Nothobranchius furzeri: one gene and its partners. The protein of the gene in region 2 purifies or fractionates together with the protein of the main gene of each other region. This does not show direct contact. Links are inferred from orthologs where the notes say so. Each region holds a gene or a part of one and is shown on either strand. Other genes may lie near its edges. The genes, in order: lamtor5, slc38a9, lamtor1 and lamtor2.

What was found.
Region 1: the proteins of slc38a9 (region 2) and lamtor5 purify together in Homo sapiens (co-immunoprecipitation; 5 studies listed by BioGRID and IntAct, with this or other methods). This does not show direct contact. The link is inferred for Nothobranchius furzeri from reciprocal best matches to the Homo sapiens genes SLC38A9 and LAMTOR5.
Region 3: the proteins of slc38a9 (region 2) and lamtor1 purify together in Homo sapiens (co-immunoprecipitation; 5 studies listed by BioGRID and IntAct, with this or other methods). This does not show direct contact. The link is inferred for Nothobranchius furzeri from reciprocal best matches to the Homo sapiens genes SLC38A9 and LAMTOR1.
Region 4: the proteins of slc38a9 (region 2) and lamtor2 purify together in Homo sapiens (co-immunoprecipitation; 5 studies listed by BioGRID and IntAct, with this or other methods). This does not show direct contact. The link is inferred for Nothobranchius furzeri from reciprocal best matches to the Homo sapiens genes SLC38A9 and LAMTOR2.

What each region holds. Positions count from the first base shown.
Region 1 is NC_091755.1:27,982,256-27,986,448, forward strand, and holds the start of lamtor5 (ragulator complex protein LAMTOR5), read left to right. Parts: upstream 1-1,342; 5' UTR 1,343-1,449; coding exon 1,450-1,484; intron 1,485-1,564; coding exon 1,565-1,626; intron 1,627-3,166; coding exon 3,167-3,284; intron 3,285-4,193. UniProt on the Homo sapiens protein: As part of the Ragulator complex it is involved in amino acid sensing and activation of mTORC1, a signaling complex promoting cell growth in response to growth factors, energy levels, and amino acids.
Region 2 is NC_091746.1:36,518,352-36,522,555, reverse strand, and holds the start of slc38a9 (neutral amino acid transporter 9), read left to right. Parts: upstream 1-1,390; 5' UTR 1,391-1,525; intron 1,526-3,357; 5' UTR 3,358-3,396; coding exon 3,397-3,494; intron 3,495-4,204.
Region 3 is NC_091753.1:34,139,973-34,144,090, forward strand, and holds the start of lamtor1 (ragulator complex protein LAMTOR1), read left to right. Parts: upstream 1-1,288; 5' UTR 1,289-1,465; coding exon 1,466-1,507; intron 1,508-3,045; coding exon 3,046-3,191; intron 3,192-3,458; coding exon 3,459-3,536; intron 3,537-3,977; coding exon 3,978-4,101; intron 4,102-4,118. UniProt on the Homo sapiens protein: Key component of the Ragulator complex, a multiprotein complex involved in amino acid sensing and activation of mTORC1, a signaling complex promoting cell growth in response to growth factors, energy levels, and amino acids.
Region 4 is NC_091745.1:61,225,377-61,229,276, forward strand, and holds lamtor2 (ragulator complex protein LAMTOR2), read right to left. Parts: upstream 2,689-3,900; 5' UTR 2,472-2,688; coding exon 2,404-2,471; intron 1,942-2,403; coding exon 1,779-1,941; intron 1,694-1,778; coding exon 1,604-1,693; intron 1,042-1,603; coding exon 985-1,041; 3' UTR 543-984; downstream 1-542. UniProt on the Homo sapiens protein: As part of the Ragulator complex it is involved in amino acid sensing and activation of mTORC1, a signaling complex promoting cell growth in response to growth factors, energy levels, and amino acids.

The DNA of each region.
Region 1 (4,193 bases), on a different chromosome or scaffold from region 2:
TACAAATGAATAAAGTAAACAATAAGATAAGAGATATAAAATATATAGAGGCTGGTATGTGCAAAACAGTGGCATTAATGTACAGTATGGAATGTGTAATGTTGGAGTTTCAGTAGTGAGGGTGAGGTGTCTGTGAAGTGTTCAGCAGTCTGATGGCCTGATGGAAAAAGCTGTCTCTCAGTCTGCTGGTTCTGGACCGGATGCTGCAGAACCTCCTTCCTGATGGAAGTAGTCTGAACAGTTTATGGCTGGGGTGACTTGAGTCCTTGATGATCCTCCCCGTTTTCCTCAGGCACCGCTTCTTATAGATGTCCTGGAGGGAGGGAAGCTCACCTCCAATAATCCTTTCTGCACACCGCACTACTCTCTGGAGAGCTTTGCGGTTGTAAGCGGTGCTGTTGCCATACCAGGTGGAGATGCATCCAGTGAGGATGCTCTCAATGGCACAGCAATAGAAGGTCCTGAGGATACGGTGGCTCATGCCAAATCTTTTCAGTCTTCTGAGAAAGAAGAGGCGCTGCTGTGCCTTCTTCACTGTATTTTCCGTGTGCACTGACCACGTAAGATCCTCTGCCAGGTGAACTCCAAGGAAACGGAAACTGCTCACCCTCTCCACAGCGTCGCCGTTGATGGTGATGGGGGGGTGTATTCCTCTGCTTCCTCTGCTCCTCCGGAAGTCCACTATCATCTCCTTTGTCTTTGTGACGTTGAGGGTGAGACTGTTGTCCTGACACCAGTGGGTCAGGGCGCTGATCTCCTCCCTGTAGGCCGTCTCATCGTGATTGGTGATGAGACCTATCACTGTGGTGTCGTTCGCATACTTCACAATGATGTTGGAGTTTCTCGTGGCCGTGCAGTCGTAGGTGTAGAGTGAGTACAGGAGAGGGCTCAGCACACACCCCTGCGGTGCACCAGTGTTCAGTGTGACGGGGGATGAGGTGGTGCCGCCCATAACATTATTATTATTATTATTATTATTGGAAAATTTAATAAAACTTGAAGGAAAATGCTAATTCTTTCTATCTATCTATCTATCTATCTATCTATCTATCTATCTATCTATCTATCTATCAATCTATCAATCTATCTATCTATCTATCTATCTATCATCTATCTATCTATCTATCTATCTATCTATCTATCTATCTATCTATCTATCTATCTATCTATCTATCTATCTATCTATCTATCTATCTATCTATCTATCTATCTATCTATCTATCAATCATCTATCTATCTATCTATGCCTATTTTGTTTATGTAATGTAAATGGAAAGATTTTGCGTTCTCTCTCTCTCTCTCTCTCTCTCTCTCTCTCTCTTTCTCTTTCGCGTCACACTTTTTGGTCCTCGTTGTGACTCGTAGCGCACGTGACGGTCAGCTGACTCTAACCGGAAACGTCGATGAAACTGTAAACAATTAAACCTTCTCTCTTTTCGTTTGTTAACGATGGAGTCGACTCTTGAACAGCATCTCGATGACACGTACGTTAAAAATCTCACTCTAACTGCTGACGTACTTCACTTTTTGTTTCATTAAAGCCTTTCTCCTTGTTTTTTTGTAGCATGAAGAATCCAGCAGTTGTCGGTGTGCTCTGCACAGATCACCAAGGACACAACCTGGGCTGTAAGATTAATTTAAAAAAGATTTACAGCAAAATGTATGAAACATATTCGGTTTAGTTAGCTTTTACAAGGCTACGTCAGTGTCGTGTTCTTTTTTTTTTGAATAATGAAATAACTTAGTTGCAGCAAAAGCTATTAATGTAACACACAAATAATATTATTTCCTTCAGTTTAGCTATTTTCATCTGTAAAGGTTGAAATACATACTACAGTATAGTTGAAGTTACTGTGAATCATACATTTCAACCATTAAAATCTCAACTTATTTCACATGCCAGAAAATCTTCACAGTGTTTGCACTGTTAGCATAATGAGATTAGCATTTCTGATGGAATGAGCTCTTCTGGCTGTTTAACAGGTCAACAGGAAGCTGCTGTAATTAAATTTAATCACAAAGGCTAATGAGGTATAATTAAAATTAAAATGTAATGTTTTTATAATTCTCTAAACACAACCAATCCAAAATGATGCTTATAATTGTTTATTGTTGATTATTACTCATAAACTAATAAATACTAAATGCTTAATAACCACGCAGTTAGTTAGTGAGGTCATTTATGAACATTATTCACATACAACAATTACTGTCATTGGGAAAGTGAATACTCCGTGGAATTGATTCTGTGTTACTTGTTTGGCTTCCATGGTTTAGTTTGAACTTTGATCTCTTCTACAATTCATCAAACTTCAGGGAGATGAACATGCTCTAAATTTTACTTAGGCTGTGAATTCAGAACATATCCAGTCCATTTTCATCAGCTGTGCAATGAAACACAAAGCAGAACAACTGATGATAATATAAAGTAATTATTTTACTTCCCAGAGGACTCCTGCAGCAGCTGACAGGTATCATGTGGTCTGAAGAATCACAGCTTGACGGTTGCTGGAGCATAGAACTTGCTGGAGGGGCTGTCTGCCCTCTAGCTGTCTTGATGGAGATGGAGAGTCACTGAGATCAGAGAAATCTGAGCTTCGCTCCTGGACCTGTTAGCAACCCAGACTTTGATAATTGGAAGAAAAATGATGGATATATCAGTATATATATTTTTTCTGTTCGGTTTAATTAATATTTATAACAGAGGCATCCAGCAAAGTCTAAGCTCTTTGTTAGCGTCCTCATACTTTTATTATCTTTTTAGGTCTTGTTGAAAGTTATTTTGAAAAGGTTATGATGTAACTGTTGGAAGTGGGTAAACATGAGTATTGTTTTGTGTAGTCAGTAGCAATGTTTCCCTGGTACATGGACAAACCTAAATGAAATAGTCAAAAGATGCAGAAGACAGAAACCAAACAATGAGTTCAACATGATTCAGATCCTCGAGAGACCCCAGAATTCAGAAATCCTCAGTCTGGACTAAATAACAGCAGTGGGACAGAAATGTTTGTAATATGTTAACAATCCTTCATAAGGAGGTCATTGTTGTATACAGGTTTGGAATTAACACAAATCACAGAAAATGACTGTTTGAAAGATGCACTGATTTCCTTTTTTTAAGACATTTAAATAATTCATTGCGTGTTTCTTTTCTTTTTTCTTTTAGGTCGTGGCTCCTTGTCTGATGAACATGGTGGTGTTGTGTCTGTTTTGTCCAAACAAGCTATGGCGCTCACCAGAGACCCAACAGTCACCCCGACCGTGTGCCTGGAGTCTGAGTCAGGGTGAGAGCACTGACCGGGTTTTAGCTTGACTTGTAATTCTTTTTAAAAATCTATCTCGGGGTATTTAAGATGTACCTTTGGGGGTTCTGATTAATGTGTACGGAGATCAATTACTCTAAAAAAAGCTTTTTGAGAGAGATCAGAACCAGAGACTCAGGGTTCTGAATCTGATCCAGTGGTTCACTGTCTCCCAGCAGCTATTAGCATCCGGGTCCGAGCCTTCATCGCGGTTGCTAAAACCAGTACGCTTATCTGGTTCCTCCAGTTTCTATTTACTTACCAAAGGCAATGCCATTTGTGACTTTGAACTGAACATGCTCGGTTCTTGGCATTAGATTCCAGAATGTTGTTCATTTCTTTCCCAAAAGGCAGCTGAGATATTTTCTTGAGACTCCAAGCCCTTTTTAATTTCCCCTAATAACCTCGTAGACATTTAAATAACCCCATCATCATTAAAAACGGGTCCAAAGTTGAACTACAGAATAAAAAATTAAAAAGCCAATGTCCTCTTTAGTGGACGGAGGCTCCATGGAGGATGGAGAGGGAGGAAGTCAACCAACTGTGGGATTTTATTTATGTCGTTGTGCTGCCATCTTCTGGTAAATGAACATCTCGTCTTTCAGAACATTTTACCAACCCAATGACAGCTCCTGAATATTTATTTATTTAAAATTACTGCTGCGAACTTTCAATCTCAGATATAATTTGTTATCTCAAAAGTCTAAATAACATAAATACAAATACAAACGGTTTTGAGTCCGATTCAAGGCTTATTTTAGCTTTTACATCAGTTATATTCAAACAGTATTTTTAGGTTGTGATTGATCATCTCCACAGCCAGAACTCAGTGTTCCATGAACCACTGGGCCATCGGGACCCCAACTTTTGGAACCACTGCTTTAATTATGT
Region 2 (4,204 bases):
CAAGCCTCTGATTGGTGGGTAGAATCAGCCCACATGGGCTTAAGACAAGGATGTGTGGAATCAACCGGGCCAGGCTAGGGCCGACTGGGGCTACCCGGCCCGGGCCGACCCGGTACAGATGGGAATGGCCCATTAGGCTCCCTATATATGAATATAGTCTGGCCACGACACATTGACGGCTCTCAGTCATGGGGCACGATCTACAGTTATCTTTCAGACTGTCTGTGCATCAACGGGGCAGTGCATCATACACTGTCACAAAAGACGCATATAAATATTTTTTCTAAACAAAGGACTGAAGTACCTTTATCTGCTCTTAACTTGGAGAAAAGCCCAAGTCTAATAGTCTAAAGTTGATGCCAAAGTTATAAATGAGCTGTCACCATCTTAGATTCACTCAATTGCATTAATCCCAACCACCAAACCGATAGAATACTAAGATTGGGCTACCAAACTGATGGAGCGCTGTGATTGGCCAGCCACCAGACTGACCCTGAACTGAAGAGGTTCCCATAGGGCAATAGGTGGCCAGCGGGCGGGCCCCCTCTTTGTGGCCCCCAATCCCCATGCGTTTTTAGCCCCATTGACTTGCATTCATTTTTTCGTTCTTCAGGGGACCCATGGTTCAGAAGAAGATGGGCGTGACTTAGGCTCCCTATGGTGCTAAAAGTGCTATTTTCTAATTCCGCATGTGCCATGGATTTTCACATATGATGTCCGTGAATTTTAAAGATGCATTTTGATGCCAAGAAAGCTTATTTTTGAACAGGGGAAATGTTATTTTAGGTTTTGTGTGAAAATACGTCCAGGACTACAAGTGAAAATCACGAAAGTGACGTCATCAAACCAGACAGAAAAACTGAGAGTAAATGGCTGTAAGTTCAACAAACTTCAAATCCTTCTTCAGGAAACACCATCAGTCTGGCCATGTGGTAAGTAGCAGTATGCTAGGGGAGACGAGATTTTGTGGTGACGTCATATATGCAAATTTAGTCATGCTAACAAAAAACTTTTACGAGCTGATAAATCTCAATGTACGTGACTGGTGTGGTCAAAACACACATCATTACTTTTAATTTAAATGTAAGTGCAGCATATGTGATCCAGGGTCTAAGGCAAAGCGGATTGGAAAATAGCATCGACATAAATATACGTATATTTATGTCGATGCTGTTTTAGTCCTACCAAGCCCCCACAATGCGGGTTTCTCATTCAAATAAGTTTACTGTAAAACATAAGTAGAAGAGAAGAGATCTCCAACTAAGGTATCTGGGCGGAGTCTGCTTAAATACGGATTAGTTATCCATGTTACGGTATTGTACCTTTCTACAGGTTAATAAATTATCCATGGTTTAAAAAAAAACTTGCGTTGTGCAATATATGATGCACGGACTTGCCATACATTAATGGAACAACTGACGTCATTCAGCACTAGCATGACTAACAAGTTGATAGGGACAGCCACACAGACATGTCTGTGGAGCGCAGACACAGCGCTACGTAGAGGTTATCCTCTCGCTCTCAGGTTAGTAACAGTTCTACTCTCCATCTTTTATTGAGTTTTAACACGGCGTGCTGCAGTTTAGGTCCCGGGTTCTTTTCGAAACGTTGACGGGGACGAAAGGAATCTACACTTACGTGTAATATTTCCCGGATGTTCACGCTCTATTTGGACTAATGTTCCACGAGCCTTAGTGGAACGGTTCCGCCATTTCCATGTTGTAATATGTTGACAGCTTTGGGTCAGGTTTAGTGTGTTTGTTTAAGGTAGGAAAGTAGACGGTAGTTTGTGTTACTGGATGCGCGCGCATCCACCGGAACAGAACAACTGAAAAAATACACATTTGGTCGTTTGGAAATGATTAAGTCAAAAGAAGGAGTTATTGATTGATATTTAGATGAATCTGATTCAGACAGGATTGGACTGTGGTTTAATGAGAATCAATGGGTCAAAGTCTCAACAGAACAACAGCATTACTGCATACAGTTGGTCTCAGCAGATCTATCTGGACTTTAGATGTAATCTTCAGTTAGAGAAACCACGAGGTTGTGATGCATGCTGGGACAAGACCAGACCCTTCACCTGTACATCAAAAGGTTCTGCATCTCCTGTCACACCAGCTGGGAGGCTGCTGCGGGTCATTTATGAGCAGATCTAACCACTTCGTCTTCATGTCAGCCTCAGACCATTTCCCAGACCAAGCTGCGACAGATGTCAGCAGCATGCTCCCCACCACACACCAGTAAAAAGAAATGAACCCAGCAGCACTGAGACCAGTTCATGTCTGCTCAATCAATGGTTTTACTTAACACTGTGAAAATGGACCTAGGATAGTTGGATTGACTCGGTTTATTTGGACAGGGAATGCTGGAAAACTTCACATCTGCCAGTTTTTACACAACAAAAATTAAAGGAACCACAAGAACTAATTAAATCATTAGCTGTCAGATGATTAATCATGATCTGACAGCAGCTAGAAGCTCCAGATGGGGACCGTAGAGTCTGAAATGCCTTTAAAACAAAAAACTTAAACCACTCTGAAACCAGATTTAATTATAATCAAAGTGAAACACACTTGAAGTCCAATGCTGGTCGACCACCACCAGTTGGGTCTTCATTACTCATGAAAGCACCCACACCCCCTTGGACAATATTGAAATTAAAGACTCAGAGCAGCCACCCTCTAACTACTGTCCTTCTTGTTGATGTCCGTGAACTTTCTGGGACAAATAATCCATCAGTTTAAAAGAAAATAAATTCAGTGTTTTTTTTTTCCTTTCACAACAACTGTAGCTTAGATAAAATTTAACAATCAGTCAGCACACAGAATAACTAAATATCATCCGAACCTCTGGATGGTTCTGCTTTTGTCTGACAGCATAGGTTTAGTAACATGCATGTTCTTCCTTTTAGAACTTCCTCCTTTGAAAAGGCCTGACTCATGGATTTCAGGTCGGTCGTATAGTGTGAACTACCTCATTCAAGTGATGAGGCAACCATTTTTTTTAGACTGTCAGCTAAACGTGTGTCTTAAAATTGAAGCTCTTGTAACTACAGAGGAGGTAAAAAATGGAAAAGCAGGATAATTTGACACTGAGCCGAAGGGAGCGTCAGCAGCAGGCAGCTCAGACCAAACCAAACAGGAATGAAAGAGACACCGTAGTTCAGCCTTTTCACAAAAATATTTTCCTCTGTTCCCTGTACACACATGCTGACTCATGGACATGTAGCTCATACTAACCACTATTTAAGGAACATTGTTATTACACAGAGGTTGGATTGATGTCTTTATGCCCGTTTCAGCACACAGCTGAGTTGTGTTTGTTTGTTATATGACTGACTGCATGCTCTTTCAGACAGGGAATGTGAGTCTTTAGTTGACGTCTGAGGTGATCATGGAGGATGAGGGCAGACCTCTGCTGAGCTCCCAGTACACCGGAGAGACCTACTCCAACCGAGGATCCACCGACTCCCTGGACTGCAAAGTCAAACGGTAGATGCCCATGAAACACTGCAATGGTCAGACTGGAGGCTGGGATCTCTGAGGTGCTTCGACCGGTTCAGTGGGCCTGACGTTATTGGTGATAAACACCTGGTCAGGTCAAACTGAATTCAGTCAGTCTTTTCAGAAACTTGTGTCTTTAGACCTAATATTCCCAGTAGGCCAAGTTGGACAGGGAGCCATGTTAGTCACATCACAGAGGTCTGCTCTGCTGAAGGACACTTCCTCAGCTGCTGGACCACAGCCAGAACAAAGTGACACAAATGGAGGAGATGACCTGTATTTATGTAGCACCTTCTAAGCACCCCAAGGCGCGCGCACACACACACACACACACACACACACACACACACACACACACACACACACACACACACACACACACACACACACACACACACACACACACACACACACACACACACACACACACACACACACACACACACACACACACACTGGAGATGGTGAGCTACACTGTAGCCACAGCTGCCCTGAGGCACATTGACAGAAGCGAGGCTGCTATACACAGATGCCATCGGTCCCTCCAACCACCTCCAGGAAAGCTTTAGTGAAGCTGAATGTAAAGGTTTAACCTAAACAATGGAAGAAAATAGTTCATGCTGGTATTAGTTTCATTTAAAGATGTTGGTTTGTCAACTGCAAGATAACATCAACGCCTTATGGGCTCGACACACGGG
Region 3 (4,118 bases), on a different chromosome or scaffold from region 2:
ATTGACTGAAATAAACTGGAACTGGTTTGTTACACTGTTTTTATTATGCACTCAGTCAAAGGCATCTGAGACCCTTTCATCTTTCTCAGAGAAGCTGCCACTTGTTCACCAACATGCCTCATCCTGTTTCTGTCTCTTGTTCATCCTGCACAGCAAGCTTGGGAAAAGTTTTGATCAAACACTTGATGTTTTTAGATTGACAAAAAGGAAAGAGGCAATCTCATTATCTTACACAATAATCAGTTATTTAACATGGATACCCTTCTCTAAAACAACATTTTAAAGCTAAAAAACAGTTATTCTTGAACTTTAGTGGCACATTTCCCATCTGAAACAGCTGCTGGCATGAGAGAAAAAGGAGATGCAACAACTCCCATGAAGGTTGTAAATGTTAAAACTGCATCCACATAAAAGGAAGGAGCAAAGGTTCCCAGTAGAACAGTACCTGTGCTGACTTGCTTTATTTTCTAACTCTGTCCAACTTACACAAACCAATGTCCTATAAAAAAAAATCAGATTCCCATTTGCCCTTGGTCTGGGTTTGAGTCTCTGCCTATAGATGCCTGCATGGATAATCTGGTTTAACAAAAGGATGGATGAACATTTTGTGGACCGTTGAGACAAAAGTGAAACGTTTTGTAAGATTTGTGACTCATCTTGTGGGAAACTAACAGTGAGTTTCAGAAAAAGATCATCATACAAACGGTACCTGGCCCATGGAGAATGTCTGAACTTTTAATTTAAACATGCCAAAAACATTTAAAATGAATTGTAGACTTAAACTTCTCCACACCAATGTGAGAGACTTATGTGCAGTTATTGGAAATGCTTGCATGCTCTTGATGTCTCACAAAGTTTTACAACTATAATTTTAGGGAGTAATTTTTCCCCTGGACTGATTTGGATATAGACTTTTTCCCATCATTTGAAAACAGACTTTTATTTACTTGGGTTATTTTCTCCCCGTATTTATTTATTTTTTGCTAACATGAAACATTTAACTGTGGCAAAAACGCAAAATGCTGTATTCTGCTTGTATTTCATTTGTTCTCTTATTTTGTAAATGAACTTTGTTCAATAAAGTTATTGAAAAAAGCAAATCCTGTTTTGGGAGCCCCTATGACTGGAACATTTATGCTTTTTTTAATTATCAGTCACCATTTTTAGTTCTGCCGAGGTTTCTGATAAGAACGTTCAACATTTCTGCCCTCACGTGTCCTGGGACGTCGCTGCTTCTCAAATACCGGAAGTAGTTGTTGTGTTGTTGTTGCACCACAGCTGCTGTCATGTGATAGCCTCACTCAGAAGCTGCTGTGGACAGTAGATTCCTACTTTTGTATGGGGCCGTAGTAACAACAGTAAGAAACAAACAAAGCTTTATGTTTGCAGGGGAAGAAGAGCTCTGCTCGTTTCTGAAGGAGCGCAGGGAAGCCGGGGTAGTTTAGTTTCAGCCTTGGACGTTGCCATGGGTTGCTGTTACAGTGGCGAGGACGACAACTCCAGGGAGGTAGGTAGCTAGCTAGCTGGCGGCTAAAGCTAAAACAGTTAACTTCATTCGTTTATTCAAACACTAAATAAGTTCTGCTGGCTAGGTGTCTTGACAGTGTTTAGTGAATGAGCCATTTCATGTTCACACATAACTCGTTTGTTGTCCGTAACATTAAACAGGAAGCGTCAGCTTGCTAAGGCCTGGGCTAAAGGCAGCCCTTTGAGTTAGCGCAGGTCAGAAACAGTTCAGAATAAACTGTCCTGAGGGCAAAAATCAAGTGTTTAGTAAAGCTGCGAGCACATCATTTTCTGCTATTGTCCTGTTTAGTGGGGCATGAGGATTTATAGCCTCCCAAAGGTCCTGCTAATCAGGAATAGACTGATTTCTTCTCTACTTATTGGCTAAATAATCAATTGTGACCCGTGTGTCAAGGAGCTAAATAACTGAACATCATGTGGATGTGCGTGGTGTCATATGGCTGCTGTAAATATCCCAGTTTTATTTTAGTTTAGGGAAATAAACCAGTTTGTCTTCATCCTTCCTCATAATCAGTTTCTCTTTAAGTAGATTAATACATTTCATCTTAGGGTTAGGGTACAACCTGGGTACAACCAGTCTATTTAACCTATGTTAGTCTGAAAATATACATTTTTCTTTACAGTTTCAGATAAATGTAAATTTTAAGGCAGAATGACTTTGATATATTTAAGATTGTATATAATCAGCTCTCTGTTTCTGAACAAAGGAAAATTAAAGGTCTGGAACACTGAAAAACCTTTTAATGATCATTTCTGATTATAACTGACCACTCTTGAGTTTTTTATTCAGGCAGAACATGAACATAGTCTCCTACACCTATCTCCAGCATTAGCTTCTGATAGAAGACAGACGATGAAACGCTAGGATTAGAAAATCCTGACAGATTTACGTCACACTGTCACTTAACATTCATGGACTCACCCATCATGACTCACAGGGAAGGCTGTTGTTGGTCTATCATCCAGGAAACAACAGTGTGTCTCGGCTAGTAGAAGCTAACCATTACTATTAGCATTAGCAACTCTACCACATGGCAGAACTCTATCAGGCTTGTGTTATCTGAGACAAGGTTTCCAAATATCAGGACGTAAGAGTATAGCTCCTGTCATTTGAAGTTCTCCTCTAATGTGACAATATTCTAGTTCCTGAAACAGGTGCACTGGAGCTTTTTTTCCTCCAGAGTACAACTTGCAAGGCATTCATTCCTATTAGACACCACTGTAAATCTACTTATTAAATGAGTGTCCCCCACCTTTATACATTTCTGTCATTGTTTATAACATGTAATCGTAAAGAAGTTGGACGGACATTTGTATAATGCATGAAAGTTGTTTTAAACAAACTTTGATTAATTCTTCTTCTACATATATTTTGTGTAACGTTTACTCCTTCTCCCCAGAAAACATATCTAATAACTAATCGTTTAATCTCATAGTCTCTTGTTTGTTTTATTAAACGTATAATTTGCTAAAACTACCTGATCACATTATTTCTATTTTATTCCAACTCTGCTCTAGAAGAACAGTGAAACGGAGTCACTAATACCCCATCCGAACCCTGTCAACAAACCTCCAAATGGGACCGACTGGATCACTCCCAGTGTTCCCTCTGCACAGGCAACTGAGCAGGCTATCCTTACATCCATCCTCACGAAGGCCGCACAGTAAGACGCTTCCACTGATGAGTCTAAACACAACATATTTACCATCCAAAGAAACTTTATCAATGACTTTTAGATCATGTGAAATAACATTTGTGTAATTGAACTAGAAGGTATTAGTCATGCACCTCCAGGTTACTAGTGCAGCACTACACGGATGTTGGGACTATAACCGATGATGTGTGACTGCATCGTACTACAGCATCCGTTAAGAGTGTTGGAATAGAGAATAATCATAATATAACTAACGTTGTTTTTCTTGTCTTCCAGGAATATCATTGATGTCTCTGCAACGGAATCAGTGGTTATGGAGCAGCGTGAATACATGGACAAAGCTAGACAATACAGGCATGTAGACGAGTAGATGTTTGTTATAGACTGATACTTTATTTTTGATGGGAGGTTCTACTTTTATTCTTCTGGAACTAGTTGACCTGAAAGAGTTGTTGATGAGACTGAATCTGAAGTTTATTTGGGCTTTAATTAAAAATGTTTTATTAAAGTCATTCAGGAAATGAACAACGTAAAACTGTCTTTTTGGAGGCCATACAGCTGGGGAAGAAGAAAACTGCTGACATGAAATAAGGAATTTCAACACCAGACCTCAAAATTACAATAAGGCCGGCCTTGCCTCCTCCTTTTTAGTGACCTCTAGTGGGCATCTAATTATATTGCATCTAAAAACGTACTTGTGAATAAACAGCCGTTCAGTTCATGGAAAACATTTGTTTTTGAGTCATTTTAACTCAAATTAATTGCAAGTTTGTTTTTGATTGGGTTTTTTTATAGTTCAAAGTTGGCTGTGTTGAGCACCAACCTGCCCCCAAAGAAAGCAGACACTCTTCCCTCTCTAACTAGCCAGCCCCACCAAGTTCTTGCAAGTGACCTGGTGCCATATTCAGATGTTCAGCAGGTAAATCACACACAGAT
Region 4 (3,900 bases), on a different chromosome or scaffold from region 2:
AAACTGTATAGGCATTTAACTCCAGGTTTGGGTGATTAAAATTTTTATTTTGAAAGCTGAGACTTTCTTTATCTGGCTGCAGGTGAGAAAGTATATTTGATGCTAATGCCTCAAGAGAAAATCACTAACTGGTATCAATTAAAACTCATTAGTTGATTAAATGGAGTTAAACAGAATGCACATGCACTCGTGAGTTTTCTTAGCTTTTAAGTTACCCAGATCTTCTGACTTATTAAAAAAGGTTTTGTTTTTAAAGTATTGGATACTGAAAGAGTGAAAAGTTTCATCAGATTTTTGTGAAATCTGTGATTACTGAAAGAAATAAAATTATCTGGTGATGAAACTCAAAGACAAGCAAGGTAAGCTTCTCTAAACCCGCAAATTCTCCCTTTCACAAGATTTTCAGAGCAAATTTAAGTTTATCTCACCTGATACTGCATATTTAAAATTGTTTAAAAACGTTCAGAGGTGTATACGAGGGTGAAACACACCCAACCGTCACCAGCTCAAAGCAGGATTTAAAAGAATGGGTGACTCTGAGCCAGTATCTCTCATTTATCAAACAACCTTGACATAAAACACAAGTAAATAACAATCTCAACTGCATTTTTCAGAAAGATTCATATAAAATCTCCACACACGTTTTTATCATGATGTACATCTGTGACTCCTAAAAATGTTCAGTTTCACATTGAACAACAAAACTATGACCGAATGGACCGATTCCAAGTGAAAACTGAAAATGGAATCACATTTCAGCTGTACACACACACACACACACACACACACACACACACACACACACACACACACACACACACACACACACACACACACACACACACACACACACACCCCTCCATTTAGAGACATGGCCCTTTGTACACTTAGTGTTGGACAGGAGGGTTACAGCAGTCCACCGATGACCTGAACAGCTGATTTCTTCTTCAGTTCAGACCAACAGAAGCGTTGGTCGGATCTTCACTACGATGCGGCCACTTGAGTCAACGGTTCCTCCAGATACTGAACCAGAGCCTCTGCCTACAAACACAATAAAGCACAATTACTGGAAAAGATTAAATCTGGTACGACCTTTAAACTGATCAGAAACTTCAGCCTCAGTTCAGATTTAGCTGGGTTCTCCATGAGCTGCTCTAGCTGGACAAACCTGATGAACCTCATCCACGTGCCTCCCTGGGTCACTCTAAAGGACTTCCTGTTTTAAACAGTGGAACAGAAGTCTAGAACCACTCAGCACATTCCTCAGAAATACTAAAAGTGGTTTAATCTGTGTTTAAATGATTAGTTTCAAATGATTTGCACATTCAATGGTTTATTTAATGATCTGCCCTTACATTTTAGCCCTTTAAGTATAAAACGTTTTAGTTAAGACTTACGTTTAATATATGTGAACAGAATATGTCAATAGAAAGTGTTGAAAGGGTTAAAAGCAAAGTTAAAAGCAGTTTTCTTTGCCATCCAAACAACTGTTGTAAAATAATGCTTTAAACTCAATTGACAGAAGAGCTCCAACACATAAAATCTTTACCAATAAAAAGCAAAACGTGGGAAACAATTAGAAGAAAAGGCCCCGAACTCTCACCTTGGCTTTCAGCATCCCGAATCCCACAGTCTCTTTGGCATATATGCACAGCAGCAGGTTGGCTACACGAGTGATGGCCACTCTTCCCTCCTTAAAAAAAAACAAATACACAGAAGAAGGTTACAATTTGAGGTCAGCCTAATGTTTTAGCCTGAATCGGAGCTGTGTTTCTCACCATACAGTCCATGAGGATGAAGGTAAGCTTGTCTTCGTTGAAGGCTTGGTGGCCATTCTTGTCGTAAGCTGCCCAGATGTTGCTGGCGATGGCAGCTGTTACGCGTGCATCGGTATCTCCATAACCAGAGTAAGCCAGGAGGGAACCTTCATTATTCAGCAAGCTGAGAGGATAAACACGTGACACATACTAAGACAGCCTACTCATAAGTTATCTGTGTTGTTAGAAATAATCTTGATGTATGTTTAGATGGTGCAGCTAATGCCTCATCATACAATTAACATTTAGAAAGGTTGACTATTTTAGACACTAATGTGTAAATTAGAAATATTTTATAAATCATCTCATTGAAATTGATCATTATAAACCGAGGTATTTGTTAGGATCTGTTGCAACAGCGTTCTAATCTGTGACATTATAAAAACAGCTACGATAAAAATCATTAAATGCGCAAGTTTTACATTCAAATAACTAAAATTATGTCTTTTAAGCATTAAGAGTTCCCAAAAAACAACGCTTATTTTTCTTTGGGCGAGCTTTCCTTGTACAAAAAACGATAAGCAGCTAAGAGTCAGAGTAAATAGCATCTTAGCATCTCGTTAGCTTGTCGCTAACTCGTACTTACAGAGTGCTCTGGACTCCGTTTGTGTTCGCTTGGCTGAGGACCTGCGTCAGAGCTTTGGGTCGCAACATCGCTGTCGACCTCACCAAAGAATAAAAACGGTTTTAATAATAATAAGAAAAAAACACGAAGTATTTTGATAGTATGTTGATGTACGTGAAGAGCAATGCGTCCAGGCAGTCAGCTGACTTGTCTTTCCGCATTTCCGGCTTCCTTCGCATTGCACTTTGGGAAATGTTGTCTCGCGGTCGTAACTAAAAAGGATTTTCATTGGCCGTGCTCGAGTTGATGGCCTCGCCTGGAAAACAGACGAGAGCAGACGGAAGCAGCAGGGGGAGTGGCTGAAAGCCGGCGTTTAGGTCGGACACAATTTCCTGCATGTGTAGGATGGCTGAAGATATCGCGTTAGAGTTACTTGTTTAATTTTCAATTTTAATTCTGGTGCCTGTTAGCAGCTGAAACACATCCTCACGTGCTTGTGGATATCATGTATTGTATATGAAGACATGATTGTAATAATAAGCAGTGTTGGGAACGTTACTTTAAAAAAGTAATTAGTTATAGTTACTGATTACTTTGTCAAAAAAGTAACTCAGTTACTAACTGAGTTACAAGATCATAAAAGTAACTAATTACCAACAAAAGTAACTACTTAGTTACTTTTTTCATTAAAGAATGCAAGAATTACTACAATAGTAAAATATAAATGACTAATGACTGAACATAATAAAATGTATGTCCAAATGTTTTATATAAACCTGAATAATTTAAACAAATATGCACTTAACAGGAGGAACTACTAATAGGAACATTACACTAATCTAGACTATTAAAAGGTCACTGTGTGATATTTAACAAGACCCCAATCAGCTAAAATTTAAAATTGCAAATAGAAACACCTGTAAAGGTTCCCGAGCCTTTAAATGGTCTCTCAGTCTAGTTAAATTACAGAAATAAATGTAATTTTGCACAGTATTCTAATTTTTCCAGCTTCACATAATTGTGTGTTTTTAGCAGCATTTCTGTTGCTGCTAATCTAGTAACGGTTAAATAAATAAATAAATATCCTTTAAAATGACACTAGAAGAGGCACAGATCTGATGGAGGACTTACATTTACTAACTTGGGTCAGACCCAACCACAGAAGAGCTGAAGCTGGGTGGTGAACACACACAGTTCTGATAACACCTGAGCTCCATGACGTCTGAGACTGATGCATCAGTGTTACAGCGGGACTAAAGACATGATCAGAAACAGGTTACAGCTGGATGATCTAGGAAGGTAGAAGATCAGGACGTCTGAGCGGACCTTCGGGACGTCCCGCTGTCACGCTAAGAAGGGCACGGCTGCAGACCCGCACCTGCAGCCGTAGATATTCATCACGTGTTCCTCGTTCTTCACGGGCCGTGACGCACTTGGATGAAAACATCTACCTCTTTAGCTCCTGATCAGCTGATGATAACAGCTTCAACACACCGCGCTGCTTCACGCACGCATTTT